4 linked regions of the Pelodiscus sinensis genome follow. The protein of the gene in region 3 interacts with the protein of the main gene of each other region in a pairwise test. Links are inferred from orthologs where the notes say so. Each region holds a gene or a part of one and is shown on either strand. Other genes may lie near its edges.

What was found.
Region 1: the proteins of ZYX (region 3) and NEBL interact in a two-hybrid assay, tested with the Homo sapiens proteins (2 studies listed by BioGRID and IntAct). The link is inferred for Pelodiscus sinensis from reciprocal best matches to the Homo sapiens genes ZYX and NEBL.
Region 2: the proteins of ZYX (region 3) and IMP3 interact in binary tests that used the Homo sapiens proteins (3 or more experiments, as listed by UniProt). The link is inferred for Pelodiscus sinensis from reciprocal best matches to the Homo sapiens genes ZYX and IMP3.
Region 4: the proteins of ZYX (region 3) and TUFT1 interact in binary tests that used the Homo sapiens proteins (3 or more experiments, as listed by UniProt). The link is inferred for Pelodiscus sinensis from reciprocal best matches to the Homo sapiens genes ZYX and TUFT1.

What each region holds. Positions count from the first base shown.
Region 1 is NC_134712.1:221,699,000-221,706,869, forward strand, and holds the start of NEBL (nebulette), read right to left. Parts: upstream 3,589-7,870; 5' UTR 3,366-3,588; coding exon 3,306-3,365; intron 3,216-3,305; coding exon 3,144-3,215; intron 1-3,143. UniProt on the Homo sapiens protein: Binds to actin and plays an important role in the assembly of the Z-disk. May functionally link sarcomeric actin to the desmin intermediate filaments in the heart muscle sarcomeres.
Region 2 is NC_134713.1:12,402,345-12,409,678, forward strand, and holds IMP3 (U3 small nucleolar ribonucleoprotein IMP3), read left to right. Parts: upstream 1-5,269; 5' UTR 5,270-5,334; coding exon 5,335-5,892; 3' UTR 5,893-6,721; downstream 6,722-7,334. Other genes in the region: PLA2G7 (platelet-activating factor acetylhydrolase), read right to left, coding at 991-1,115, 3,208-3,298. UniProt on the Homo sapiens protein: Component of the 60-80S U3 small nucleolar ribonucleoprotein (U3 snoRNP). Required for the early cleavages during pre-18S ribosomal RNA processing. Part of the small subunit (SSU) processome, first precursor of the small eukaryotic ribosomal subunit.
Region 3 is NC_134711.1:137,760,427-137,768,368, forward strand, and holds the start of ZYX (zyxin), read left to right. Parts: upstream 1-4,398; 5' UTR 4,399-4,522; intron 4,523-4,697; exon of another isoform or gene 4,698-4,833; intron 4,834-4,985; exon of another isoform or gene 4,986-5,152; intron 5,153-5,237; exon of another isoform or gene 5,238-5,390; intron 5,391-6,180; exon of another isoform or gene 6,181-6,274; intron 6,275-7,942. UniProt on the Homo sapiens protein: Adhesion plaque protein. Binds alpha-actinin and the CRP protein. Important for targeting TES and ENA/VASP family members to focal adhesions and for the formation of actin-rich structures.
Region 4 is NC_134734.1:14,990,357-14,998,406, reverse strand, and holds the start of TUFT1 (tuftelin), read left to right. Parts: upstream 1-4,611; 5' UTR 4,612-4,708; coding exon 4,709-4,768; intron 4,769-8,050. UniProt on the Homo sapiens protein: Involved in the structural organization of the epidermis. Involved in the mineralization and structural organization of enamel.

The sequences.
Region 1 (7,870 bases), on a different chromosome or scaffold from region 3:
TGTAGTACCTAGAATTCTCTTGTAGTTAAAGACAAGAAAACAAAGGAAATCCGAACGGCAACAAATTCATTTTCAATTAATTTTTATTAGCTATCATTAAACACTATTAATTCACAAAAACGGCAATTAAAGTTCTGGCAGGATCTAATCTTCACAATGTCCAACCAATGGCAAGGAGATGCTGAATCAGAAAGAACTACAATTTGGACTACATTATGTGGCAAATTAGATAGTGAGCAGCATTATATTTAATTGGAATTTGCTAAAGGAAACATTAGCAACATGCACATCTGAAATACAGTATGATGAATCAAGAGGCAAGCTATTTTCCTTCTATAAAAGGACTAAGATTATTTGCTTAACAACTTTATTTGTATTCAGCTTCCTACCTCCCCCACAACAGCACCCATATCCCCTTTTAAAAAAGAACAATAAAAACAAATTAAGGCATCCAATGTAAATGTTGAAAGCAAAGGGGCTAGAAAGGAAAGTCACGCAAAAGTCCAACATAAGTGAAAATTAAAGGCATCTTTAAAACTATTATTTAATTAAAAGAAATTAAATTGGATGTATCTGAGAGGGAAGCAACATAGGGATCATCACAAAGTGTGAACATCGGCTGACTGCAATGGAAGAATTGTTGGAACAGTGGCATGTGAGAACAGATACCTCCCTGAACAAGACCAGAGGCTTACATGCCATAAAGGGCTTTAACAATAATAGTGCCAATTTCAAGTCAGATACTAAAGCATGAAAGATGAGAATACCACCATCATTATATCTCAAGCTATGAGCAATCATGCCATTCCATTTTGACAGAATATGTGTTGACAGCCTCGCAAGGAAGGAAAGAAAATAACCCAGGCTTGTAGTCATAAGGTCATGTGCTCCAGCTATCACAATGTCATTTTAGGGTAAAACTGCAAGCCACACAAAGTCATTAAAACCTATTTCTGTTGGACTTTCCCGTATTACCTTCATTGCAAGTCCCTTTCCCTTCCACATTTTCCACTTGGCAATGAGCAAATTGGGTCTGAAAGCCTCTGTGTGCGTGTGTGTTCACATGGGTGTATGTGTATAGAGAGAGAGAGGTTTTCAGGTAAATTTTGTTCATTACCAAGTAAATACACTAATCCATCTCCATATTTGCGTGAATAATAGCTCCTCCCTAAATAGTTGTGTAAAATGTTTATAAAAAAGAGCTATAAACATGGTTGGATCCAAAAGCAAACTGGAATATTCACTGTGCTCTGTTCCCAAACTTGGTGCAGCTGCTGGCAGAAGCAAGTGAAGACAATTCCCCTAGAAACTGCCAGCAGCTTCATAGCTGTGTGCGTCTTCTTGTAACTAAAAAGAGTTAAGAGATTCTGGCACCATTCCTAGAATGAAGAAGTTATAGAGGGGGAATTTCCTCCCTGAGAACTGTAGGGCTTTTCTAGTGATAGTGAAAATTCAGTTAGGGTGAAGGTTTGGAAGGATTAAAAAAATTTACTTTGAACCTGCTCTAATACCCACTATACCCAATAAAAACAAATCCAATGATTTTAGTGAGTAATGGATCAGGCTCAAAATGTGGGTTCCATTTTAGTATATTAAAAAGAATTCCCTTTCATATTATATTGGCTCTGGACCATTACAACTTCTTATAATAATATCATGCAGGATTAGGAATCATTATCCTTTGAAAGCTTCACATATCTCAGTGAAAATCTAACACACACTTTCACCAAAAGCTGCCTCTCTGAACCATTACTGAGTTTGAAGCTCATTTTAACTTATTTATTCATTTTAGCCTCCAAACCTACACAAAAAAAATGAAAGAAAGTTATATTCATAATATTTATCTACTGAACAATAGCAGCAGCCACCACAACCACCGATACACTTTTCAATAATAATTCCTAATTTAAAGAAAGAGTTTATCAGCACTGTTCAGGGTATTTTTTGACTTTGTGACAGCAATCAATTACGTCTAGAAATGAGTAGTATTGAAAGAATAAATGGCTTTCAGGTCAACTTAATGCTTCATTTTCACTGTGGCTTTTATCTGACTTGACAGGCTTGTATTGTATTAAACTCAGTACCTTTCCAATAAAAACACATGGATAACCATTAGTACCTTTGATAAAAATATTAATATAACTTGTATAACTTCTTAAGATAATTTGATGTTACTGAGTTATCATCTTACTGGCCTCTCTTAAGGCTGTATCTAATACCCAGCCCACACCAAAATTAACGTATTCCCACACAACATTCAGGCAGAAAAAAAGTTTTGACCCTTTCAAGCTTCATTCTCTACCCAGCATGATAACTCCATTCCAGATTAATCATTTTTCTAGTGGCCATCTATTCTTCCTGAATAAACATCCTCCAGTAATGAATTTTCTGCATCCTCTGTAGTCTAGTTTCTGCATGTATTAATCTCACAAAGTCAACATACTTATTCACCTTGGATAATAGTGTCACAAAATGTTTATACATCATGTTATAATACAAGGTGAACCAGCCCCCAATTTGTAGTCCTGCTACTCAAGAGCCAAAACATCCCAGCCTAGAGCTGGTTAGAAAGATCATTAAAGGCAAATCACCATCTCTCATATAATGGTTTATCTTGCTGTTAGTAACTATATATACTTAATCCACGAAGGAAAGCAATCCCATCACAAACAGAACCTCAATTACTGCACATTTGCAAAGTTCCTCCTGGGACTCAAGTTTCCACAATAAATACAAACCCAAACCTCCACTTTCATAATTCACTCAGAGGACCAGGTCCTCAGCTGACAAATAAAACGGATGTAAAATAGAACTCCTCAAAATTATGACCACTAAGGATCTGATCCAATGTATGTGTGCCAAATAAAGACATACATTAGATTCCTTTAATAACTCATTTGGCATTTGTTAACTGAGTGCCTTTAGGAGATACTATCACTCTTTAATGGAGTTTCCTCATACATATATTCTTTGATAGCACCTTTATATTATTATTGTATGTTTTACTCTATCATGCAGGCGCTCAGAATTTAGGATGGGCACCTCCAGCTACATTTTACAAATACGAAGAAATAAGAATAATACAAAAAAACTTTTAAAGAAAGGAATTTAATTAAAGGATACAAATGGTTACAATCACTTACATCACTTATAATTTCAGTGCATCTTCTGGCCAGTTCCATGTTTCTGTCCTCAATAACAGGCTTAAGGAACACCTATCAAAAAAAAAAAAAAGAAAGCATTTCAATATCACTAACCTAAAACAGTGAAAAAAGAAGCTCCTTTTCAGTTATCACTGCCACCACCTTTTCTTCTTCTTCCTCCTCTTCACTTTCATCCTCCTTGAAATCCTGAATGAGAGGCATTCTTTTTTAATATTTAAAAAATATAGTTAAAAATGTAAAAGGCCACTGCTACAGCAAACTGTTTATGTTCTACTACTTTTCTATGATGTAGGCTCCTCTTGTGTCCTTCACTAAGTTTAACCTTACCAAGGCTTCTTCCTTATTTAGACAACACTTGAAAGTCTTTATCAGAAAAATTCCATATGAGTGACCTAGAAGACATTACAGATGGCCTTGCTAACCGAGCTAGTGCTTTCTTACAGATAAAGTATAAGTAAACAATGCCTAAATGTCTAAGACACATTTAATTAAAGCACTGTAATTCAGTAACTATGCAAGGTAAATAATTTAATGAAATTAGCTGGCTCAAAAGGGTGACATGAATCCTAATATTATGGGGAAACCATTCAGTTCTAGCTTTTAAGATATCTCAGACCCCAAATCAGCTGTCATAAAACTTCTTCACTCAGTCTAAATAAAGTTTGTACAGAAAAGGAACATATACCCTTACTTTTCTAATACAGAGAGTTTGGATAATTCACAAATGCTTTATTAAATGTAATTTTAGAATGTAATATATGTTATTTTTCATGCTCCTAACTGAAAAGGTTCCTTTCTGTAAGGATGAAATCTAAAATGTTCCTTTCAATACTCTTAAAATGCTTCCGGCCTCATATCAGCTAAAGTAATATTCATACATACACACATATCAACACTCTACAGAAGATAATATACCATGATCATACATATACAGGCAGTCCCCGAGTTACGCGGATCCGACTTACGTCTCCCCCAGCAGACCAGGGAGACGCGGAGCAAAGCCGCGGAGCTCGCGGGCGGGACCGCGGCGCGTCTCGGCGGTCCCGCCACCCGCATCTCCCTGGTCTGCTGGGGGGGGGGGGGGAGGGGAAACTAGCTGCCCCTCCCCCGGTCTTCCTGGAATCAGCCGCTGATCAGTTTCAGCAGCGGCTAACTTGGGGACACCTGGGGTAGAGCAGCTGGGGTGCTGCTGGGTTGATCCCCGCAGTGCTGAGGTGCGGCGCTGTGGGGACCTACCCGGCAGCGCCCCAGCTGCTCTGAGCATAGATCTATTGGAATGGAAGCTGCCTTACTACTAGAAGAAGTTATTTCACCTGCTGCTCTGTACGAATGTATTGTAAGGTTCAAAGTAAAAAAGCTAGCTGGATCGACAATCATTCTAAATGTGATTTTATTTTCCTAATGCTACCACATCACATCACAACTTCATACTGCATCCCACAAAGAGATTCCACTGCAGTGAAGTCCACATCCAGGCTTCATCTCACAGGTCTATGGTAGTAGATTTCTATGTGTTCTTGGAGCCGATATCCACATAGAAAACATAAGGAATGTGTAGTGTTTGAATGTAAACTTCCCAAAATACCAAAATGTAATTGTGGCTAACATATGCCTCCCATTTGTTGTTTGGAACAAGAGCACTTCATTAGAAAAAGACATGAAAACAAACAGAACATTTGTGCCTGAGCAAAAAGTATAAGGAGGTTTAGAGTTTTTTAATATTTGAGAAAAACAGACAACTCTCAACCTACTGTAACCCACAGACAGAAGGCACTTATGCATTAATGATAGACAAAGATTTCAAATGACTTATCTTGCTGTTTTAATAAATAAGCTCCTACATTTTGAGAGTGACAGTCATTGTGGGCACCCAAATTGACACCCATAAGGCCTGATTTCCTGAGTTGTTGTGCCGCCACACTTCCCATTGACTTCTTTAGGAGCTGTAGGTACATACCGCATCTCTAAAAATTGGGCCCCAAAATCTCCAACAACAACAATTGGACAATTTTTGCTACAATGGTGAGGTCAAGCACTCACAACAACTGGTCACTTCTGCAAATGTCAGGCATAATAAATGTCTTTCTGGGCAACTATAGTAATTGCTACATGATGTGGCAATTCGCTTCTCTGGCATACAGAGCACTTGTTATAGACAACACAAATGCAGTACAGCGATGAGTTGTGGACTTCTGGTGTTGATACCAAGGTGAAATGTTGAAAAACGCAAATATCTCTGCATTATAAATAAAAGGCTCTGCACTTAAAATTTCCTTGTTCCTCCCCCAAATTCAATATATTTGGAAAGGAAAGATGTCAGAATAATTAAGGGAGAATGGAGGAGACTTTAATAAGCATAAAAGTAATTGCTACATTTTGCAAAACTTCAGCATGGGCTAAGCTGCTATTTTTCCACTGAAAGTCAACTGGTCAAAAATTACAAATTCTGAACTGCTTGGATTTTTAGATTACTTAAAAGATTAACACTACAAATAATGGATATTCAGAGTACTGATGCAACAGTAATTACATCTTAATTGTAATTTTCCTGCAATGTTTTCTCCATAGCAAGATCAGCTTTTTCCTTACCATAATCTAAGTTTTTATTTCTGAAAGAGCAGGATCAGCTATATTTTTTATAGGCCTCCTCCTCCCTCCAGCCCACAGTTTATTCAAATATGCTGGACCTTTCAGCAGACTTCCATTAGCTACACATCTAGAGAATTGAGGGTTTCATAACTAATCATATTGAGGAAAGAAATGCCAAAATTACAATTTCTAAGGGAGTGGAAGGGAAATCATGCCACAACACACCACCACAGCTATAATACAATATAGAACGATTCGGTGTGGCAGTCTCCAGGGGACAGAAGGCACTAAGCAGACACTATCAGATGCCGGCCGTCCACCAAAAACACAGGGCTCTGCTGGATAATATGTCATCCAACAAAGTGACAGAGAAGCAACTCTTTTGGCAATAAGCTCACTGAAATACAGTCCCGAAAGAGATTTGTTAAGAAAAACTAAGACTACATAGTTTAAAATGCAGGGGGTAGGAGTGTTAGTTTCCCTGGTGCCTGTCTATACACATGTACCCACCCGTGCCTCACCTTCTTCCTCCACCCCCTCTGCAAGGCCCACAACCATGACTTCCTCCATGACTTGCTCTCCCAAACCTTCACTTATTTTCATTTGACTGGGGATAAAGGGTTTGCAGTGTGGGAGGGGGCTCTGGGCTGAGCCTGGAGAAGGGTTTTGGATGGAGGATGGGGTACTGGCTCTGGAAGGGAATTTTGGTGAAGCAGGGGCTCGGGGCTAGGGGACAGGATTGGGGTGCAGAAGTGGTACGGACTCTGGAAGAGAGTTTAGATGTGGAAGGAAGTTCAGGGCTCAAGCGCGGGTTGGGTGCAGGAGAGGGTGAGGGTGCAGGCTCTGGCCAGGCGTTTACCTAATGGGGCTGATCAACAGTGCAGTGGGGCCAAGGAAAGCTTCCAGCTTGCCCTGTCCCCACATCACTCTCCAAAGCAGCCTTTCTGCAACCCCTAGGTAAGGGAGCTTGGTGGCTCTGCACGCTGCCCCTGCTTGAAGGCATTGCCCCCACAACTCCCGTTGGCTGTTGCTCCCAGAGCCATCACTTGGGGTAGGGGCAGTGCAGAGGCCCCCTGATCCCACCCCAAGGCAGCAGAGAGGGACACGCCAGCCACTTCTGAGAAGGTGGGACAGCTATCATTTATGTTGCTCTTATTTTTACTCTAGTAAAAAACAAACTAGAGGTACTACCATAAAATATAGCCTGAATTTACCCTAACACTGTTTACATCACTAAAATGATCATAAATGTTTTCCCACAGTTTAACCACAAAAACATGCACTTACCTTGTGCTCTAGTAAGAAAACACTTTCCAGTATAAATACTGCAATCCACAGCCAGCCTTTCCAGCATAAAATCATCATAGATTTAGTACAACCCAATTGCACAAGGATTTAAAAAGCAAGCAAAAAAAAAAAAAACCCTGACGCTTACTCTTACAGATGTATTATGTAGTGTGTACCACAATGTACTAAAGGAGAAGAAAAACAGATAAATTGAGTAATCAAGAACTTCAATTATTAGCATCAGTGTGGTATGACGCTACTTTGCCCTCTGTCAATTCTGATCTGCTGAAACATTTCATAGTGGGTTTGGGGTTTTTTACTAGTTATTTTGCAAAATGTCATCTGGAGTACAGGGTGTCCCCGCTATAAGTCGCTCGGGTATACATCCATTCTGCACTAAAGTCGTTGATGCCTGTAGGAACTAATGCATTTCCCACTTTAAGTTGTTTTGCTATAAGTTCACGTTTTTTGGAACATATAGGCAAACAACACAGGAATGCAGGAGCAAGATTAGAAAGGCAAAGGCACAAAATGAGCTCAAACTAGCTACGGGAATAAAGGGAAACAAGAAGACTTTTTATAAATACATTAGAAGCAAGAGGAAGACCAAGGACAGGTTAGGCCCACCGGTCAGTGAGGAGGGAGAAACAGTAACAGGAAACTTGGAAATGGCAGCGATGCTTAATGATTTCTTTGTTTTGGTCTTCACCAAGAAGTCTGAAGGAATGCCTAACATAGTGAATGCAAGTGGGAAGGGGGGAGGTTTAGAACATAAAAGAAAAAAAGAACAAGTTAAAAATCACTTAGAAATGTTAGATGCCTGCAAGTCA
Region 2 (7,334 bases), on a different chromosome or scaffold from region 3:
GCCCATTTGTTTGCAGGCCCACAGTGTGGTTTCAGTTTACATGGGGCTCAACATGCGGCTTGAAGGTGGGATCCTTTGAACATGGCCTCCACTGGGAACACGCTCCACAATGGTGAGTCAATATAATGGTCTTCTGTCATTGCTCATTAAAAGTGCTGTCATATGGGTGGAAATTGGGTGAATATTGCATTTTATTAATATCAGCAGAACTGACTTAAATGGGGCCTGATGTGTAGTCTTGCCTTAATCTTTGTATTCGTGCCCATATGTGTAAAAGAAGCTATTTGCATATATTTGCATATATATTTTTGCATGTATATGCAACTACACTTAAGCTACAGCCGTCAGCATGTGCTGTGAGTATCATTGTGGCCCCCAAGGCTTCTAAAGTTAATTAGCCATGACCTAACACATTCCCCATTTTCACTGTGCCAAATGGAACGGTAAGGAGGAGTTTTCCTGCCTCATTTCAAAGAATTCACTATGGTGAGCTATATGAATTCAGTGGAAGTTACAAGCCTAAATAACTTTGAGGAACTGGACTAAGGAAGATTGCCTTAGCTGGGAAAGCTGGATCAGGCTCTTAAATTGCACTTAGAGATGGATGGTGTATATACAGTATCTGGACATATTTATCTGTCAAATCCAGTTTACAAAACCTGCATCCTAGTATCTGACAAAATCCATCAATTTACAGTATATTTCTGTCATTACAGCCTTACACTTCCAGTGATACTTGTGCCACAGTAGTCATCTTATGTCATTACTCTTACAGAATTAATGAAAATGAAATATTTTGTACACAAAAAATAAAATGCCTCAGAGCTGAAGCAGGCTTTGTCCTGCTCCTCTGCACCTGTGAATTTTCACTTATCAGAACCAGGGGAAGCTTCCATTTAATAAGTATCTCATAATATGATGAAGGCTGCCATGTTGGACTCATGGCTTATGTAAAAATAAAGGAGTGAGAGGACCTTTTGGCTTTCATACCTGAGTTGTGTGACCAGTCATCAGATCCGTGCAGCCAACAGAGTAAGGCCCCTTCCCCCGAGGAATTCTATACATCTTTGCAGAGTTCTTGCTCTCCATATCCTTCTGTGCATTAACACACAAACCTGGGGGTAAAACACAGAACAGGTGACTACCACCTCCTTTGCATACCTGCTGAAGAGGACATCACAGCATTACAGATTCAGGACTTTGAGATTCAGGGCTGAGCTGACAGTCAAGAGTGATGAGAAGCAGGCAGAGGATTCATAGATTTTAAAGCCAGAAAGGAGCATTATGATCTCCTGTGTATCTCAAGCCACAGAATTTCACCTGGGAGAGTGTTGTGTGGAGGAGCCACAGATAGCTGGGAGGGAGGAGAATGATGAAGGGAGGAGTAAGAGAGCCAGGGGCAGCGATTATTAGAGTGACACAAGGACTAGGAAGCTGGCAGAAGCCTGGGATTGCTGTGGAGATGAGTGGTGATAGTAGACCTTTGATGAGGCAGGATTAGCAGTTCCTGAAGTAGCCTGCATTGAGGAGTTTGACTCATCCTCCCCTCTTCTAGCATTTGCTACCTCCCCATGTTTTGCTTGTCTACATTAGTGTTCTCCACCCTAGCCTGTCCTTTCAGCTCCTACTTTATTCTAACCCCCAAGGTGCTCGCAGTCTTTCAACCCAACACCCATCCTGTGTCTCAAGACTGACCTCCTTTTCCCAGCTAGCTTCCCCTTGACCCCTTCCTCTTTGCTCCTCCCTACTCCTCCCGGCTCCCTTGCCAACAAGAACACCTCCTCCTTCCAAGTGCTCCATGTTGGTTTGCATCCTGTCACAGGCGAGCTGCAAGAGCAAGGGGAGAGGCCGTTTGGAGGTCTGAAATTCCTCCACTATAGCTGTCCCTGTTGGCCAGGAGGAGAAGTTCCTGCTGAAATTCCTGCAAACCTGCTTGATATGTGACATGGCAGCAGGACTGTGGATCAGTATTAACAGGGCTTCTGAATATGTCTCCTGTGATCTCAGACACTCTGCAGGCCAGCCTTCAGCAAAGCCCAAAGGAAAAAGCCTGGTGGTGACCTAACTTATTCTACCTCCAGATTAATCCTTCTAAGGTGCATAACAATTAGTTGGCGCAGAGTGCACCGGTTGATAGAGTTGGTAATGTTTATAACGCACACTGGGATCGACTAGAAAAAATGCTATCCCTTCCTTTACCGCAGGGGTGGGCAATAATTTTTGACAGGGGACCACTCCAAGATTTTGGAAAGTGGTCGAGGGCCGCACACTTCCATGATATTAATGGAGGAGGTAGAGGGTCTGGGATGGAGGTTGGGTGCAGAAGGGAGCTTGGGGTAAGGTATTGGGGTGCAGGAGGGAGTTTGGGTGAAGGAGGCAGTTGTGACCTAGGGCAGAGGACTGGGGTGCAGGGGTTTGGTTTGTGATCTAGGGGAGGGGACTGGGGTGCAGGAGTTTGGGTAGTGACCTAGGGTAGGAGGGGATTGTGATCTGGGAAAGGGGATTGGGATGCCAGATCTGGGAGGGGATATGGATGCAGGAGAGGGTCAGAGGGTTTGGATATGTTGAGTGGGGGGGCAGAGGGTTGGGGAAGAGAGGGTCTGGGGTGTGAGAGGCAGGTTCTGGCCAGGAGACTTATCAGCCAGTAGATCAACCAGCCTGCCTGCCCTGCACCTGCACCTACACATGCTTGTGTGAATAACTGAGCTGAAGGAGAGGGGGGAGGCATGGTGCTTTGTGTGCTGCCCATTATTCAAACAGGCAGCTCCCACTGGCCAGTGTATGGCCAGAAGCCAGCCAATGGGATTGTGCTGGGGGCGAGAGCAGTGTCTGAAGCCTTCCCCCATTCAGTTTTTAAAGAGAAACGGACCTACCACCACTTTTGGGCTGTGGCGCAAGCTAGGGAGCCTGCCTGGAGCTCCACACTGTGTCCATGGGCCAGATCAGGTGGCTTAGTGGACCAGATCCAGCCTGTGGGCTGTACATAGACCAGGCCTGCACGAAGAGGTCTCAATTCTGCAACTGCTTCTTTAGGACACTTCATGTGTGGGAGTTAATTAATGGGATACATAATAAACTGACAGCCTGCACATTTACTAAAAGCTTTCAGGTAACAGGTGCAAAATCACATTCTCCCCCCCCCCCCTTTTTTTTATTAGCCTCCTACAAATAAATAATAACTGCGCCACTGAAGGATACATTTCTTACCTGCTAATTGAATTTGTCCCAATTTCCCTATGCTAGTCCAGAGCAACCAGTAACGGAAATGGAAAAGTAAATGAAATTTTGAAGACTGCATCTTCTATTCATGCAACTTCTCAGTGTTTCAGCTTCATGACCTTTGCCAAAGCAAATAATGTAACACTATATAAACAACAAGTATTCAAAAGCAACAGATATTTAGTTTTGTTTTTAAGGGTGACATCTGGATTAGCAAATGATTCAAAGCCTCCAGTCAGTCTCCTTGACCATTCAAACCTTGCTAAGACTGCCAAGAGAATCAACTAGGAAGCTGGTTTTAGTGATGCGAATTCTTGCTTCACTACAACCAGAACTGAGAGCATCAACTCTTTTCACATAGCACACCCACCAAAAAGCCATCAGATCATAGTTGCACTGATGGTCATTGCAGTCCATTCTGCGTTGCGCCTCCTGTATTCTGGGATATAGTGGGACCCAGTCCAGTCTCCAGCATAATTTAGAGCATTTCCTTGGCATATTTTACATTAGTTGCCAGGGCCCCCTATTGATAGGTAAGGCAGAATTCATCCCTATATATATATATTGCACCCTCCCCACACACACTCTCTCTCCAGCTGAAGGAAAAGGAGGGGGGGGACATTGATTGTTTGGTCCTGGGGCCCAGAATTGCTTTTGTCAGCAGGCCTAGGAATAGTTAAGCTGACCTAAGTCCGCATGTAGACAAGCACTAGGTCAACAGAAGAATTCTTGGAGAGGTGGATTATCTGCCCAATGGGTGAAACCCTCCTGATGATATAGGTAGGGTCCACACTGAAATGCTACAGCAGTGCATCTGTGCCACTATGGTAAGAAGAGCCCTCAGTCCTCATCTGAAAAATGGGAATACTACTGTTTCCCTAATTCACAGCAGTGTGTGAGACACTTCATGATTTGTAAAGTTGCATAAGAACCTTGTATGAAAAGCATGACAGAAGCACAAAGTATGTTCTCTCAGACATTTTTGAGCCTTTAAACTTGTTATACTTGAGTCAGTAAAGAGGCCGGTTGAGTCACCTAAGACAGGCATACCCCTAAACACAAAAGGGTAGCAAAAAGTATCCCAGGATAGCTGATTACAATAGTCCAGAAGTTATTTGTGCCACATATTCGGAAAACTGAAACCCAGCACTAGAGAAGATACTTGTATTTGGAATCTCTCATGTTGGTTAAAAAATGCTTTTTTCTTCAATTCTGTCAGATGTTTCTGGACACTGTAGTAGCCAAACAGTGGGTCTGGTAGCTTGCTATGTCTCACCGCCCCTCCCCCGAGTTGCTTTAACTTTGCTTTCATGGTGCAAGGCTGCCTTGTATTTGCCTTTAATACACAACTGTTTAGTGGGTGTATACACAACTTTAATACACAACTGTTTAGTGGGTGTATACACAACTTTAATACACAACTGTTTAGTGGGTGTATACACAACTTTAATACACAACTGTTTAGTGGGTGTATACACAACTTTAATACACAACTTGGGAGGCCACATCAGCACTGGGCTGGTGGCTGTAAAGCAGGAGTGGGGATCCTTTTTTGAGTGGGGAGCCACTGACGCACAGAAAAAACAGTCAGGGGCTGCAGACAAAAACCCTTCACTGGCATAGCCCCCAGCTAAGGAGAAAGACACTCCCCACATTCCCCCTGCACACCAGAGCTAGGGGGACCCAGCCTGGCACATTTTGAGTACTGGAGCCCCATGGTGGAGCAGCAAGGGGGGGGCTGGAGCACCAGCACAGGCTCCCCAGTTCAGGGGCGATCCTGAGCCTCGGGGGCCACGCCCATGCAAGCGCCCTGGCGCAGCACCACTCTGTGCAGAGGCTCGCGACCAGCCAGCCAGCTTGGCGCATGCGCACCGAAACCACCACCCGCCTGGCAGTCCCTCTCTATCCCGTCATGCGTCACTCCCCAAGCCGCCGCTCTTCTTTCCCCCTATTGAAAACGTGACCGGCGGCAGGCTCCGCTTCTTTCTGGCCAATGAGAGAGAAGGGCAGCAAGCCCCGCCCCCCCTTGCTCGGAGAGCCGGAAGTTCCGGTTCCCCCCCCCCCCACTCGTGGTTGCTAAGGGCCGCTCGCGCTCGTAGCCTCCCCGGCGGCAGGATGGTGCGGAAGCTGAAGTTCCACGAGCAGAAGCTGCTCAAGCGGCTGGACCTGGTGGGCTGGGAGGCGGCCTCGGGGAACCTGGCCGAGCTGCGCGTGCTGCGGCGCTACCGCCTGCAGCGGCGCGAGGACTACACCCGCTACAACCAGCTGAGCCGCGCCGTGCGCGAGCTGGCGCGCCGCCTCCGCGACCTGGGCGAGGCCGACGCCGCTTTCCGGGCCCGCTGCACCGCCGCGCTGCTGGCGAAGCTCCACGGGCTGGGGCTGGTGAGCTCCAAGCGCTCGCTGGAGCAGTGCGACCGGGTCTCGGCCAGCTCCTTCTGCCGCCGCCGCCTGCCCAGCCTGCTGCTCCGCCTGCGCATGGCCCAGAGCCTGCGCGACGCCGTCACCTTCATCGAGCAGGGCCACGTGCGGGTGGGGCCCGAGGTGGTGACCGACCCCGCCTGCCTGGTGACCCGGGCCATGGAGGATTTCATCACCTGGACCGACTCCTCCCGCATCCGCCAGCACGTGCTGAACTACAACCAGGAGCGGGATGACTTCGACCTGGCCTGCTAGCGGGGCAGGGACCCCTGGGGGTTGCTGGCTAATGCACCCCACCATCCTGGGAAGAGACTCGGGGCCCAGATGATGTGCCTCTCCATGCCACGGAGAGCAGTGCTACCCAGGGGCCAGCTCGTCTGTGTTCTGCCTGTCCTTGCCAAGAGATGCCTGGCCTGGTTGTCTTAAGCCTGCTCCCCTCTCTCTCTCTCTGCAAAGGGACTCAGTACACTGTTGTGTCACCAAGTCTGGTACCATGCACCTCCTCTGTGAAGGAACTCCTTGCCCAGATGGACCAAGCCTGGTACCACCAAGATAGGCCCAGCCTGGTACCACCCACCTTCTCTGCAAGGGGACTTGTGGCTCAATTATGCCATCGTGCCTGCTGCCTGTCCCCTCCCATTAAAGGGATTTCTGACCCTGATGTCATTACTACGATGAGCTATTAAGCAGATGTCATAAGTCACTGTCCCTAAGCCTCTGCCTCTGATGTGATGATATACCCTCCTGCTGCAAAGGCCATTAGCAAAATAGACTGAATGCTGTTATGTCATCACCACCAAAGGGCCATCTAGAAGGGACTGATGAACAAATGGCTCTCCTGGCCAGATCTGTTGTTCAAATGTGATGTTAGAAGAGATACAGGGTTTTATAGTTTGTCTTGTCAAAGGACTTCTTAACCAGCTTCCCTTTTGCTTCTCATAATAGTCCTTCTTTCAAAAATAAATCAATGGGGATAATTCTGTTTTCAGAACTGATCTTGGCTAATTATGCTAACGTTGTAATCTGCAGCATTATCTACACCAGTCATCATAATTTATATGTAATAAAACTGAAATTCAGATTGCTTCTTAGAAAATCTATTTAATTTCTTGAAAGCAAGAACTGAGCTCTTTCTTGGTAATATTTTTCCCCTGTCCTACTGTAGTAACATTGAATGTGTTCTGGTTTCACTGCTGAACTGGTTTCACTACTTAACCAACAATTAAATCTAATTGAATTTTAAATGGTTCATTATTAATTTACCTGTGGATTTGCAGGCACCTTTCCTAGGTATGTTCTGTCTTCGTAACAATCACAAATGCATTTTCTGTTGTCTTTATTGTTAGTGTTCTGTTGCATAGTATCTATTACATCTTGCAGATGTATTGTTTATGCTACTTATGTGCTAAATACTTTGCCCCAAGGAGCAAAGAAAGCTAAATCCCTTAAAGGCCGGATCTACTGGTATAGCTGTGAGTTAACACTACGGGGGGGGGGGGGGGGGGGAGCCCTAGGCAGATATACCAGCATAAGCACTTGTTTAGCTTATTTTGTTTGGGAAACTGGTAGCAACTGGTCTCTTGACTAGGAAGTAGAAATATACCAGCAGCTCCTTTCTAGTGTGGCTAAGGCCTTAGAATAAATAATGTGTATGTCTGTTACTTGTCTAGGCACTTAGATGTCTGTTAATATAGAGT
Region 3 (7,942 bases):
ATCTATTCAATCATATATTTAGCAATGACACCTGGAGTTTCTCAGACCTGAAAAAGAGTTCTGTGTAAGCTCCAAAGCTTGTCTTTCTTACTAATGGAAGTTGATCCGATAAAAGTTATTACCTCACCCACTTTGTTTCTCTAATATCCAGGACCAACATGGCTACAAAAACATCGCAAACAAAAATGGCATAGGACATTCAACATGGCATAGAAACATATCTTACTGCAATGTACACTGCACAGATGTAATTCATAAAGGCAAAATGGCTAATTTAAAAATAAGATAAGAGACTCCAAAACCCAGTAATGATTGGCGTTGTCTATATTCTGAACAAAGGGAAATCTCAACTATGCCTGTAGTTGCTTCTATAACTTCACAGGGACTCAATAAACATTTTAGGCTCAACATTCCTGGAATCGTATTACAGGCAGTCCCCGACTTACGCGGATCCGACTTATGTCGGATCCGCACTTACGAACGGGGCTTTTCTCGCCCCGGAGCTCGCGGGCGGCGGGACCACCCAGAGCGCAGCCGTCCCGCCACCAGGGCGAGAAAAGCTGCTCCGGGTCTCCCTGGTGTACTGGGGGGGACTCCCCAGCATAGCAGGGAGACCCGAGCAAAGCCGCAGAGGCGGCGGGGTCCCCCGCCTCTGTGGCTTTGCTCCTGTCTCCCTGCTGTGCTGGGGCGGGGGGAAGAGTCCCCCAGCACAGCAGGGAGACAGGAGCAAAGCCGCAGAGGTGGCGTGACCTCTGCGCCTCCGCGGCTTTGCTCGGGTCTCCCTGGTCTGCTGGAGGCGAGGGGGCGCAGCTAGTGCACCCCCCCCCCAGCAGACCAGGCTTTTGTTGCGGGATGCCTGGGGTAGAGCAGCTGGGGTGCTGCCGGGTTGGTCCTGCGGGGACCTACCCGGCAGTGCCCCAGCTGTTCTGTCCCAGGAGTCCAGATTCAGCCGCTGTTGAAACTGATCAGCGGCTAATTCCAGGAAGCAGGGGGCAGAGCAACTCTGCCTAGGGCTTCCTGTAGTCAGCCGCTGATCAGTTTCAGCAGCGGCTGAACCTGGAGCCAGTTCCGACTTACATACAAATTCAACTTAAGAACAAACCTACAGTCCCTATCTTGTACGTAACCCGGGGACTGCCTGTATACAGATTACTTATATCCCAGTACGGGGTTGAGAACCAAGAGATTATGGCCCCATTGTGCTAAGTATGGTACATAGTCCAAGGCAGTCCTCCTGGCCCCGAAGAGCTGAGTCTAAGCATAAGAGATAAAGGGTGGAAGACAAAAGGAAAGTATTATGCTTAAAATCGGTTACCAGCAAAGCCAGTAATAGAATTCATATTTCCCGAGCCTTTGGCCAGTGCCCTATTGTACCGACTACTAGACCACACTAAGGTCTATGCTTTTGCAGTCAGAGCAGCTGGGGCTGGAACTCTGTTGCCATAGCTAGGTCTGTCTAGTGCCAACCCAAGTAGCTGACAGGAAATCTCTGAAACAATTATGTGTTTCATGAGACCCTTTTGTAATGGCTTTTGTTAGAAACTACCACAGCCCAAGACTGTCTCAGCAGGGTGGACTGTTTTCTCAGAGTCCAGACTGATGCCAGTGTGTGGTGCTTTCCCAGGCCCAGTGACATAAGCCTGCAGATGGTTGGTGAAGTGGACAGATTCTCTAAATTGGTGTGCTTTTCCTTTTGGGGCACTGTGTTTAAGAGGGAATAGTGTGTGTAAGGATGTGGCCTGACCACAATACCCCAACATGAAGCACAGATTGTCCATCCATACTAGATATAAGAGTGTTAGGAGATCTAAGTTGAAACTTTTGGTATCATAGGTATGATCCAAATAATGCAAAAGCCATGTGATGTTCCAGCACAGCACGACTCCAGTTCATACATCCTACAAAATCATGTGGTACATGAAGGCTACGTCTACACTGGCCCCTTTTCCGAAAGGGGCATGCTAATTTTCAATTTCAGAATAGGGAAATCCGCGGGGGATTTAAATATCCCCCGCGGGATTTAAATAAAGATGTCCGCTGCTTTTTTCCGGCTTGGGGAAAAGCCGGAAAAAAGCGTCTAGACTGGCCCGATCCTCCGGAATAAAGCCCTATTCCGGAGGATCTCTTATTCCTACTTTGAATAGGGCTTTATTCCGGAGGATCGGGCCAGTCTAGATGCTTTTTTCCGGCTTTTCCCCAAGCCGGAAAAAAGCGGCAGACATCTTTATTTAAATCCCGCGGGGGATATTTAAATCCCCCGCGGATTTCCCTATTCTGAAGTTGAAAATTAGCATGCCCCTTTCAGAAAAGGGGCCAGTGTAGACGTAGCCAAACTGTGTCTGGGGACAACCAGATTGTAACTGGGATTCCTGACATGTCTGCATTTATTGCATCATAACAACAAAATTCAATCACTTGCATATGAAATAAGTCAATATGGTTAGTCCCATTTCACAGACAGGAAAATTGAGGCATACAGAAGTGTAGCGATTTGCTCAAGGCTCCATAACGTTTCACAAGAGATCTCTCTATATAAAAAACACGTTTCCTGAAGGATAACAGAGCAACATCAGCACATCACTCTGCATCCTGCCGCCCGGAGTCCTTCCTACCTCCCTGACTCCCTGGTGTTCTGGGGGACAGGCAGGAATCACACGGCCTCCCCAGTACTGGGGCAAGCAACCATGCAGCCTCCTCAGTGCTCCAAGGGGGGGGGGGGAGTGGAGCAGGAGCCATGTGGCCTCCCCAGTGCTCCGGGGGGCAGGGCCGGAGCCATGTGGCTTCCTCAGTCCTGGGGGGAGGGTAGGGGGGTGGGGCGGGGCAGGGCAGAAGCCCTGTAGCCTCCTCTCTTCCTGGTGTTCCTAGGATGGGCAGGAGCTGCATGGCCTCGCCCCCCTACCTGGTGTTCAGGGGGGCAAGAGCCCCACAGCCTCTTCCCTCCCTCCCCCCAGGGACCAGGGGAGCACCAGTGAACAAGAGAGAGCTGCACGGCCTCCCCCCTCACAGGTGTTCTGGGAAGGCGGAGGAGGTTGGTGAGCGTAGAAAGCAGGAGGGGTCCTAGTATACAATTAAGGGTTTGTTTCTTCTAGGGTTTCCAGATTCAGATGTAGCTACATCAACATAGCTGCATCAGTACAGATCTCTAGTTCAACTTCAGACACACTGTATCAGCATAAACTGGGATTTGAACTAGTGTCTCTCAGGTCAGACCAGCTTCACCAGTGCAAGCCCCATGTGATACTAGAGGCATGCTCTGTGGTAGTTACACCAATGTTGCTGCTAGATAAATACCTCAATGTAAAAAAATCCTAAATTCTCTGAGCATTGCAAAGATTAAATGACAAAGATTAATCCCTTGGAAATTTAGCAACAATAGGGGGCAGAAAGCCCAGTATTACTGCCAGATTTCAAGGAGAGAGCATGGTGTTTATGCAAAGAACAGGAATTCCCCCTTGGCTCCAGACTTGGAACAAATAAGCTTAGGGAGGCTGCCCTGCAAAAAAGGACCCAGGGAAAGAGAATAAAAGAAAACCAAAGATGGAGAATTTCAATAGTAAACTCCTTCGTGCAGGGACCAGACCCTCTGGGTGAGGTGCACCATTGAGCACTCACACCATCCATGTTCAGACTGAAAACAAAACCTAATAGATAATGCTGGAATGGTTTGGGAACAATGTGGATCTTGCAGGTCAGCAGTACAATGTGCAAAGCACAAGACTAGAATAGCCAGTGACATGGCTATCTAAGGATAAGGGGCATCAACAGAGCTGTGCCAGGACACTTGGGTCTGGAGGAGGCTGTGCCCAGGGAGCTAAGTGGGTTGTTCAGGTGCCCCCACCTCCTGTCTGGTTCTGAATACATGAGGAACTACATTCCTTGCAGTATTGCTGGTTTGTTTTTTAACAGCGTCTGTAGGATTGGAAAAGTCAGAGTCAGATGCTCTTGCAGCTGGTTGCTTGGGGAGGGGCTAGGGAAGGGGCCAGAGGGACCCTGCCTCCTGACTCACAAGAGCTGCCGGGCCTCTGCTTACGTGCAGTGGTTGAGACTGGAAATGAAGTCACTGGTGGGGGGTCACCAGGTTAAGGAATGGGGTGGAGGTTAAGCCTGGAAACACCAGTTGCTGAAAAAGTTGGGGAAGGCGGAGGCAACCCAGCGCTGGGGCAAGAGATAAAACACAAGCGTGCGGGGGCGCCTAACTGAGGGGCTTTGCCTAAGCTGAAGGGAAGACAGGAGTGGAGTGGAAGGGGCTGGGAATCAAGACTGAGCCGCAAGGCCGGCAAATCTCGGGGGAAATAGGGAATCCAGGAGTGGAAGGAAAGCAGGGAGGGTATGAAATACAGGCCTCCCATAGCAGCGATAGGAGGGAAAGCTGACACCTCCCTCCCCTCACAACACAGGGGGAAGGGCAACGAGAGCTGGTTGTAAGAGGGAGAGCGTTGCTGTTCTCCCCCACTCGTCTCTCAACAGTCCTGTCTAGTGTATTCATCCTCCTCCTCCTCTTACCTCATTGCCACATTCCCTGGTGAGTGAGCTCAGCTGTTCGCGCAGCCTCTCTCCTTTTATGGTCACACAGCTTTGCTTGGGCGAGGCCTTTTTGCGAGATGCTAGGAAGTCCTGGGCTCTGTAGTCCCCCCTCCTCCAAGTCCTTCCCCCTCCCGATTTGGCAGACAAGCAACCGAAGCTGGTTCTGATCGCTGTGCAGGGGGCAGAGCGCGGCACGCCCAGGCGCTGGGAGGGCAGAGTGGGGCTGGGCTTGCGTGCTAGCAGCACTAGAGACTTTACAGGCAGCTACAAACTTTTAGTCCAAGAGACCCAGCCTGCTCCTCCCCAGAGGTGAGTCCCCTCTCCTCCCGCTTCCTTTGGGCAAAAGTCCCGGCTGAAGCTCGTTGCCTCCTAGTTTTATTGCAACTTTATGCTCAAAAACTAACTGCGGTTTTTTGGCAGCAGGAAAGCTCCCCTCCCTCTAATTTCCTGCCCCACGTCCTGGGGCTGCGAGGCTGAACCTGCTCTTGTGTGCGCGGTCGGTGCTGGTGGCACAGCTTGGGCCGCTCTAGTTAGCGTTAACTTTATGGACTTGGCGTCTCTGTCTCCTTTTCCGGGGGAGCCTCATACTTTTGAAAGCCTGACTAAGTTGCCAACCCTGGGCTGGCGGGTAAGTGCCCCCAGCCGCCCCGTGGAAATGAAATACCTAAGAAATCGCCTCCTTCCCTTTGTAAAACTAGCAGCCCGCGGGGGCGGGGAGGGCGCGCTGCCGAGTCGAGACGCTGCAGTGTGAGTGAGACCCCTAGAGCCTTTTTCCAGATGTTTGGGTGGGGAAAGAATCCGAAACTTTTCGAGACTCCTTCATGTCTCCTCTGCCCTGCCGGGGAGGAGATCTGAGGAGACGGGAGGTGAGTGCCTGCAAATTTGTGACTGTCTGGCGCTTGCAATATGTCTGCATGTTTCTTTCTTGCCGTGCTGTGTAGCGAGGAACGGGGAGACGCGGGTGTGCAGTTATGTGACTGCTACAGATTCACTCCAGGCCTGGCTTTGAAAGTTCCCCTTTCCCCGGTCCAATCCCTGACTACAATTTACATGCCTGGAAATGAACTTTCTGGTGGGGAAGGGGAAGTAGGAGTCATTAGGCAAAGGAATGGGTGGGGGTGGGGTGGAGATTGAGTGGAGAAACACCAGTTGCTTGAAAAAGAAAGGACTTTGCTGTTGCAGGGACGCAGGGTGGGTTTTTTTGTTTGTTTGTGCGTGGTGTGTTTGTTTTTTTGCTATCCAAGCAAACTTTGCAGGATTAACCAGAGTTTGATGGGGTGGAAACACATGTGACTCTGTTTAACTGGGGGAAAAAAGAACACCCCCCCCCCAAAAAAAAACTGAAGTAAATCAGCTTCTTTCACTTCATATTTTAATAGCACATCCCCTTCATTTTTCATTTGGAGGAGGTGGGTGACTTCATGCCAGAGTTACTGGATTATGAAACAAAAGCCCCCTCCCACCCAAATACTGCCTGCTTGCTCTGAGCTGGGATCCTCCCTAGGGAAGGAATCATTTTGGAGAACATTGGGGTAGGTCCCTGCCTTTGCTTTCCATTCTCTGCTCCTGGGTGGGGTACAGTGAAGATTGGCCAGTGAAGTTCAGGTCCTGGGGTCACACACCTGAGACTGAGAATTGGTTGGTTCCCTTTCATAGAATCATAGAGCTGGAAGAGACTTCAGGAGGTCATAAAGTCCACCCCCCTACCCAAGCAAGGCAGGACCAATTCCAACTAAATCAACCCAGCCAGGTATGTCACCCAGTAAGTATGGCTTAGGTCAGGACTTACATCGAAAATAGAGCAATCTGTGATGGCCTTAAGAGATTGCTTTCATGTAACCAGTGCAGCTATAGCCAATGAAAGGCTCTAAATCTCAATTTCTGGCTTTGGTGCAACCTTCCTCTAGCCCAGGGCTACTCAACTTTGGATGCCCTGGGGGCCCCAATGGTACTCACAGCACATGCTGAGGAATGCAACTTAAGCATGGTTGCATATACATGCAAATATATATGCAAATAGCTTCTTTCCCAAAATGCCCCAGTGCTCCCTGCACCTCCTCCCTGGGGGCTAGAAACACTGACACCCTGTACCTGTCTGTTCCAGCCAGCCCATCCGTTTGCATCTTTCTATGCTTACCCCTCCTGGGAGACATCTCGCCACTATGGCGCGTGTTCCCAGTGGAAGGCATGTTAAAAGGATTCCAACCACCGGCTGTGTGTTGAGCCCCATGTAAACCCAAACCACAGTGCAGGCTACATGTTCAATAGCCCTGCTCTACAGCTGTGTGGAATCTTCTGATTATTGTAGATGTCAGAACATCTCTTCCTTTGTGGGAGGCTTGATAACTAAATCGGGCTCAGGCCTGCCTAAGTGGCATTCCCTCAGTAATTGTACACCATAGTAGAACTGTGGGGAGACCATAGAGGAGGTGGATCAGTCTAAAGGCATGCTAGGAAGGCTTCGATCCATGGCAGCTCCATACTCCCTTCCTTCTAATAGGGTGACTGGTGGACAAACAGAAGAGATGCCTTCCTGCTGCTTTTTAAGCAGAACTTGGGACAGGCAGGGGCAGCTGCAGGTGGAAAGCTGCTGTGAGGAGAAAGAAGCTTTGGCCTAGATAAATGTATGTGTATTGGAAGGAGGGGGAAGGAGGCTGCTCTGGGGTCAGGGAGATGGGAACAGCTGCTGGCAATGACCCTAACGTATCTGCATGAAGCAGCTGATGTCCCATACTCCATCTCTCTAAAGACCAGCTCCATTATAAAGTGTGATCATGTGGAGACTAGGCTGTGATCTTCAAGTACCTACACAGGAAAAGATTCTAATGGCAGTTTCTTGAAACAAGCAGGTACAGGCATAAGAAGATTCAATGGCTAGTGATTAACTATTTGAACAGTTTACCAAGGGCATAGTGCGTTTGCTATCACTTAGTTTTTAAATGAAGACTGGATATCTTTCAAAATGACATGCTTTAGCTCCAACAGAAGCAGGATCACTGTGTGAGGGAGGATGGTCTGTTATGCAGGTCACAATAATAAGGCCATTTTTTGGCTTAAAATTTGGTAACCTGCTCTTCAGCATCCTTATGGACTGACCTGGGGAAGGGGGGAAGCATCTTGTGGTCTATGCTGATGACCCTTCTTCCCTAACCTGCCCTTCAGTTGGATATGAGAGAGTTCTCTGGGGCTATGGTAGGGGAGGGTGGGTGAGGATTATTTCAACACGCACAGCCCTGCAGGGATATGCAGAAATGATCAGCAAATATAAAGTAGTTAATTTGCAGGGCTCTAGATACAAAATGTGTACCAGCATCCATATCTGCAAAAATGATCTGCAGCTACCCCTATCCATGAATGCAGATATCTGTGAATTTGTAGGGATCTACCAAAATAACAACTAAGGCAAATTATCTTGATC
Region 4 (8,050 bases), on a different chromosome or scaffold from region 3:
GAACAAAGAGTTTTTAATTGAAATATTTCAATCTTATTCCAACATGCACTTTGATAGCAATCTACAAGCCATAGCAAAGCTCTTATGTAAGAAAAAAGGTGCCAAATTAGCTAACTTATACTCAGGGAACGTTTCGTTGGTTTTTTATAAAAAAAGGATAGATGAGAATGTCTGCACTCAGACCCTACTCAATCTTTGTCATTTATTGCAATAAATAAAAACGTAGTAAAACCAATTTTCTCCAACGACTGAGAAATAAATTTTATACAAAATATTGTTCCAAAATCTGTTATATATGGAAAAAACACCTCCTACAGCTCCCAGAAGGGTGGGGGCCTGAAGAACATTGCAAACGAAGGGGCTATAGTTGTTTTAATTTTAGAAAGTATTTGCTTTTGAAGGTTATTGGTCAAAGAGCGCTTGGTTGTTTCCATATTCAAAAGAGTATCAATAACGTTGATATTTTTAGTTAAATAATTTTTTCTTATGATAGTGATATTGTTCAATAAAGGGAAACTGTTAAACACTTACGGTTTCCAGTCCATTTATATATTTTATTAAATAATGTAAATCGGCTTACAGGGCAGGTGGGGGAGGACTAGACCCATTCTGGGCACCACCAAAAATTATACAAACCTGCCGCCACTGACTGCTGCAACAGCTTGGTCCAGCCTGGGCTGCGGCCCAGCCTCCATTTGGCTGCAGGGTCCTGTCCCCAGCCCCAATTCTAAGGCAGGCACATCTGGCTACAGGAAGGGCTGGCGGCAGCCCCTCTCCCCGCTGCGGCACCTGTAAAAAGATGCAGTAGTGGAAGTCCCATTAAATAAAGTCTGTGAGGACAATGTTTCATGTATGCTATTATTAATCAATAATATTAAGTTGTATATCTTCAGTCATGCACATGGGCATTCTTGTACTGGCTCTTTGTTGACCACTTGTTCTGAATGTTGATGTAGTTTGGCTCTTTGGTTTGAAAAGGTTGCTGACCCCGGGCTTACATGGTAGGTAACTGGTTAACTGGGCCCGGTAGCAGGAACCAGGACAGGGCAGCAGGTGGGTCTGCAGCGGTCCCCATGGTAGACCTGGCAGCCCCAGTCCTGCAGCCTGGGACAGGGGCAAGCGGTAGCTCCTGCCCTACCAAGCCCCGGTATGAGCAGAATTCTGCATGGCTGCCCCAGCCCTGGCGCAGTCCAAGCAGGGGCAGACGGGATCCTGGCCTGGCTGCATTGACAGCCCTAGATCTGTGCTCACTCAAGCTGGGGGCCAGACTCCGAAACCTGGCAAGGAAGGAGGGTGCAGCTTGAGCCCAAATGTCTATGCTGCTGTTTTTAGCCCCACAAGACTGAATCAGCTGTTCTGGGTTCGGAGACTCACTGCCATGGAGTGGAGGGGTGTATGTACTGCATCATGGATGGACTCTAAGGGACTTCAGAGTTCATGAAAATGTCCCCAAAACTCTTTCTGTGCCCTCAGGTCTCCATCCACACAAAGGGGACAATAGCATTACCCTCTAAGGGATTTCTGAGGATCAATACATGGAAGACTTTGACATGCTTAAGTACAAAAGCTCCCCCCCCCGGCCCCGTGACTATCTAGATCTATGGTGTCCAACCAGTTCTGAAGGCACTATAGTGGCAACTGCTATAGTGAACTAGCCACACTCAACTGGCCAGATAGCCACATGTGGCTAGCATGTTGGACAACATGGATCTATATGGATGAATGGAAGAATGTGTGTGCCCATACTCAGAAAGATGTAGCATGGAGAACATAACAGCCATACTGGGTCAGACCAATGGTCCAGCCAGCCCAGCATCCTGTCTCCTGACAGTAGCAATGCCAGATACCCCAGAGGGAGGGAACACAACAGATAATCCTCACATGATCCCTCTCCTGTCACCAATTTCCAGACAAAAAGAGGCTAGGGATACCATCCCTACCCATCCTGGCTAATAGCCATTGATGGACCTAACCTCCATGAATCTATTTAGCTCTTTTTTGAACCCTGTTAAAGTTCTAGCCTTCACCACATACTCTGGCAAGGAGTTCCACAGGTTAATTGTGTGCTGAGTGAAGAAATACTTCCTTTTGTTTGTTTTAAACCTGCTCCCTGTTAATTTCATTTGGTGACCCCTAGTTCTTACATTGTGGGAATAAGTAAATAACTTTTCCTTATTCACTTTTTCCACCCCAGTCATGCTTTTATAGGAGGGGTTAGTGTCTCCCTGCTGCACATTGGGGCTACAGGCTCTGTTAAAAAAAGCAAAATAGGGCAGGGGAGCTCTTGCCCCACTCCTCATGTGGCTTTGTGAGGCTCTCTCTCTCTTCCCCAGTTCTGTTCTCACACGCAGCAGTGAGCTGGCACGAACATAAAACCCCGAATAGCTTCTTTCTTCCGCTCAGCTCTCAGAAAGAGACAGTCTGCTTCTCACAGCAGCTCCTGGAAACTTCATTGCCGCGCCCCAAACAATCCCTCAAGCAGCTCGCTAGATCTCTTTCCAAGTCCTCCCTTGCTGAACCACAAACAGAGGAGAGAGAGTTGGATGGTTACTCACCCAACACCTGCAGAGAAAAGGACCACAACCAACCAGGGCAAATGGGACAGATTCAGTGCAACAATTAACTCCTTCTTCTTCACAATTATTATAATGGAGATTGCCTATCTCCTAGAAGTGGAAGGGACCTTGAAAGGTCATCGAACCTGGCTTGAAGGAGAACTGCAGGCCTTGGGAGCAATGGTGGAGAAAACAGGAGGGAAAATGGGACTGAGTGGTTAGAGCATTGGTGTGGGTGCAAGGCTTTCAGGGCAAGTCTGGTCTAGTGGCTAGAGCAAAGGAGCAGGTGTTAGGACTCCTGGGTTCTCTTCATGCTGGATGAGAATAGGAGGCAGGACACATAGGTTCTTTTGCTGGAGGAGGATAGAAAATGATCCTGCTAATGCTGGACAGAAAATTAAAAACAGAGGAGTTATCAGTTCTGTTCTTGACCCTGCCACTGTCTTGCTGGTTGACAGAGAATACAACCTGTGTGCCTCAGTTTCACTTGTATTAAATGTCAATGACACTTGCACCTTCCTCAAGGGAGTGGCTGTGAGTGTTAATTAATAAATATCCTTGGTTGAAAAGGTGCTAGAGAAGCATGATGTTAATATATGGCAGATCAAATGATTAGATTTCTCTGAAGATACGTAAGCGAAACTCCAGAATGATCTTTGAGTATGAGCTAATTAGGCAGCAACTCCAGTGTAACATGCCATTCAGAAGTAAAGACAGCTGACTTCTATATCTTCTTTAACCAGTTTTGCCATTAAACTGCTCTTTGACATACTTCTGCAGGACACAATTTCCCTTCCTTTCTTCTTGTTTTGGGCTGCAGCAGGTAAAGCTACTTTAATACCCCTCCAAAGCAAGTGACTGGAAAACAATTATAAGTCATGTCAAAGAAATGCAAGATTGTTCAGGTTCATGGATTGCATGCATCATGCATGTAATGTTCTGGGTACAAATGACTGCAGAATTAATTTAGAAACAATATCTGCACCCTAAATTTTGAAAATAGCAATAAAATTAAGATATGCATTATATGCAATATATTCAATTTAAAAGAGTAAAAATCTATTAACTTGTATGTAATATACCTCCCAGTACAAATAACTGGAAACCACAATTAAAAATTCTGCATTGCTTTTTCATACAATTGTTTGACACAAATTGAAAACATCTGAAATTTTTCATTTTTTGCATTCCAATTAAAACCAGTAGAATCAAATGTAAATATTAAAAATATATTATGTGTAAATGTGAATTAGTTACCCCCAGGAGAAATATCTTAGAAAATATAAATAATAGCCATGAATTTTTCCAAGTAATATCCTCCAATGCAAATAATTAGATAAAAATTTAAAAGAGCTCAGTCAGTATTTACCAACTAAATGACATGCATTAATTTACAGATATTATCTCCAGTGCAATTTTGCAGCGGGGAGGAGGAACTAAAATACCATACCTTAATTGACTTGTGCTATTAAGGAATACATAATTAACAACTAGAGCCAGACATTATCGGCACAGCTACAAGCATAAAGCTGGCCTGTCCATATACTGAGTGTGGATACATGATCCCGCCCCATCCATTGGTTTGCACAGAATAACCCACCTCTCTACACAGTAATTTACATGCAAGACCCTACCCGGCTGCATTTATTTATATGCAAGACCGCTGCCCCATGGGGCGCTTCTTTGCATATGCAAAATCACACCTCGCTGTACACTAGTCTACCTGGAAGACCTGCTGTGCATTTATTCCCATCCAAGACCCCTACCTCTTTGTATTAACATACGAGATCCCGCCCTATTTTGCATTAATTAACATCCCGCCCTACTTTGCATTAATTTCCACACCAGGATCCCAATCGCGGTGCAATCGTTTACGTGCAAGACCCCGACCAGCCTGCTTCCAGCAACCCTACTCCTCTGGGACACCGCGCGCCGCCCCAGCCGCAGCCCCTTCAGCGCGCGCCCTAGGCTCACTAGGAGGCGGCGCGTGCAGGGGGGGGAGGAGGGAGGGAGCGCGAAACCGGCTCAACCGAAGGCCGGAGCCCGCCAGTCGGGGCGTGGCCTGAGGGCGGAGAGGGGGCGTGGCCATATATGAGGCGCGGACGGGCTCGCGCGTCGCTCAGTCGCTGTTGACTCGGGGCTGTGGCGGAGACATGAGCAGGGCGCGAGGCGTGTGCGCGCTGGTGGAGATGCGGCCGGACACCCAGAGTCCGGTGAGCCGCCTCCCCCGCGCCTGTGGGGCTGGAGCCCCTTGGGGGGGGGGGGTTTCCCTGCCAAAGGGCCGGGCGCCTCATCCCCCCACATGGGGGAGATCAGGGCTGGGCTCCCCATACGCTGAGGTGCAGGTGGCTCGCTGGGGATCCCCCCTCACTCCCTAGGCACTCCCGTGGGTGGTTGTGCCCCCTTATTGCCTTGGGGGGGCCCCCTCCATCCTAGGTGTTCCTCGAGCTCGTTGTGTCCCTCCCCTTGGTCTGGAGGGACCCGCTCCATTCCTGGGGGGCTCCTGGAGCTAGTCTCATCCCCTTCTGACTCCAGGGGGGACCCCCTCCGTCTTCTGCTTAGGGTGGGTCTGCAGGTTCCTGTGTTCCTCGTGGGGCCCCCTCCTGTGTGTGTTGGGGAGGAGGTTGGAGGTTGGGTCTAGTTTCCTGTGGCTGTAGGTGGTAGCCCCTTGAATCCTGAAACTGTTTTGGGGGGGTTTCCTGTGGCTGGCGTAGGGACCCGTGCAATTCCTGGAGGGTTCCGGCTCCCATTCCCCAGGGATGTCCACCTGCTTGCAATGGAAGTGGCTATGGAGTTGAGCATAGAGTTCTGTGGTGTTCCCTGCGGGAGAGCTGTGTGATCTGTGTCTGAGATGAAGATCCGTGCCCTGATGTTTAGGGGGTAGGGTGGACAGGAGGGAGGGGATAGCCCTTTGTAAGGAAAAAGCAGAGAGTCTCCAATAACCAGAAAGCCTTTCCTGTAGCTTTCCTTGGTTGTCCAAAGCTGCGGTAGACAGCTCCTGAGCTGCTTGAAAATAGGAAGGTTATGACCTTCATGCAGAACAAACAGGGCTTTGTTTCAGTCTCTCTGTTGCAGTTCCAGATATTTTCCCCTCCTTTTCTACTAATTTATTTTGGCTTGTAAAAATACTACAAATCAGATTGAACTCGTATCAAACTACATTATCGTTAAAATATTTGTGTCCTATAATCTTGTATTGACATACAGGGTTCTTATAAGTCATGATTTTTTCCCCTTTCTGTGGTACAAGCTAGTGCTTCAAGTGTTAAATGCTGTCACTGTCAACAGAGTTTGTAGATCAGAATATTCTTCAGGCTAAATCAGAAACCGTTAACCACCCTCACTAGTGTGCTGTACTGTGTGTTATATTTTTTTGAAGAAATTTTAGGCACTCTAGGTCTCTGGTGATGGGGCCAAGTAAGGACCTAGAAAGAAAAGTAGGTGCTAACTGTACAAGGATTAGTGCTGGCTACATCTTTATAAGTCTTTCACATTGATAAATACACAAAGTATATAGCACTTCTTGATGTCCTGCCCACAGATACAGCTCGTATAATGTTTATTGTGTGTGTGGGAAAATTCATGCAGACAGCAAATGGTTTTGATATAATGTAGATGTCACATAACAATATCCAGATTGTGCTAATGGAATTGTGTGTTTTATGTGGAGTTTATTGAGCCTGCAGTCAGGGTGATAATAACATTGGAGATTTTAATAATAAGATTTGAGTAATCTAGGCATCTGCCATTGCTGGTAGTAATTGTGTTCTAGTTGTTGGAAAGAAAAGGGGGGTGAGATAATATCTCTTACTGGACCAGCTTCAGTTGGAGAGAGAGAGAGAGGAGACATGTTTTTAAGCTTACACAAAGCCGTGCTTCTGGACTGGTTTATAGTTGTTAGTCACTTTACAAGTAGCCTCTGTTTTGTTTTTGTTCAAAGTCCTAAATTGTTCTCAGGCAGCATTCTGATCTCTTATTGATCAGAATGCCATTCTTGTTGTGGCTGACATAGATTATTGGTTCTTTGGATTAATGATGAAGCAAAAATTAAAATATGCTGGATCTGATCAAGCATATTTGGATTTTCCAGAACCCTTAGTTTTCTAGACACAGCTCCAGAAACATCAGATTGTCTATTTGAGTACTGCAGACAGTCTGTCAGTCAGTTGATTGAATTTTCTTTCTACTATATAAACGTTATTGGATAAGAAAAAAGCTAGATTGTTAATGTCTTGGGGAGAAGGCCAGCCAGGAAAAACATGGCTCCCATAAATGTGTACTGGATTTCTCCTATTCAGTTGTTCAGCAGAACTTTAATTGTTTCGTGTTCAATTTCTCATTCTCTTTGCCAGTATCAGTCCTTGGGGCCTTTGTTCTTACTGAAAGTGACTCATCTTTGAGTCCTCTAATGAGAGAATCCTAACTCCCTGCAGCCTTTCCCTTCCATATATGGAACAGTTGCAGTGTTGTGCACATGTATTGCATAACATGTTGTGTGGTACTGTAGTAATAAGCAACCCTCTCACACCTTGCATCTTCAACACTTGGCAAACGTTACCTAATTACTCTTCACAATACTGTGCTGGTCAGTCTTGTTCCCATTGATAAATTGGCACAGATTAAATGACTTGTCCAAAATCACCAAGTTATTAAGTGCTGGTGTCAGGGTTTCCTGGCTTTCAGTCTCTGGCATTCTTCCTTGGGCTTAAAAAAGACAATTCTCCTCTTATTTGGCTCTCCATTCTCTTTAGAGAACAACATAACCTGACTTTAACCCAGGTCTTTAGTTCTCCACTAACCTTCAGTTTTCCTAGATTGTCTTTCTTGCTTCTAAATACTCTTGGGGTAACTGAAACGTACTTTGCTGAGCAATGCACAGTATCGCTTTTAATTATTTAACTTACCTGCCTCTGTTAGTTTCTTGCTTACTTTTGTTTTTGGTGGGTTTCATAGTAATTCATAGATTGTGATTACAAAATGAGGCCTAAATTTGGACTCTCTAAAATACCTGGAATCCTAGTTCAGCTATTGACCCTATTTCACTTTCCCTCCATCATCGGTTACTTTATATTGTGGGGAAATGTCTACATTTGGATGATTTTAAATCTTATGCATTTAAGAATCTGAGACTGTCACGCTGTTAGATTAGATTACTAGAGCCCTGCACAGATACAAAACTTTGTATCTACATCTGAATGAGCAAAAATTAACCACAGATATCTGCATTGGCATCCACGGATGTGAAAACTGGTGGATATGAAGTGGATATCTGCAAATGTATCGGGTTCTAGATACAAAATTTATATCTGCGTCCATATTTGCAAAAATGATCTGTGTATAGGCACATCCACGTATGTGGATACCTGCAGATATAAAGCAGGTATCTGTGGATTTGTAGGGCCCTGCAGATTAGCACTCCATCACCGCTTCCTGCTCACAAAAAACTTTTTATATTGAAGCAGCCATTTTTATGAAAAAAAATGCATAATTCTCCT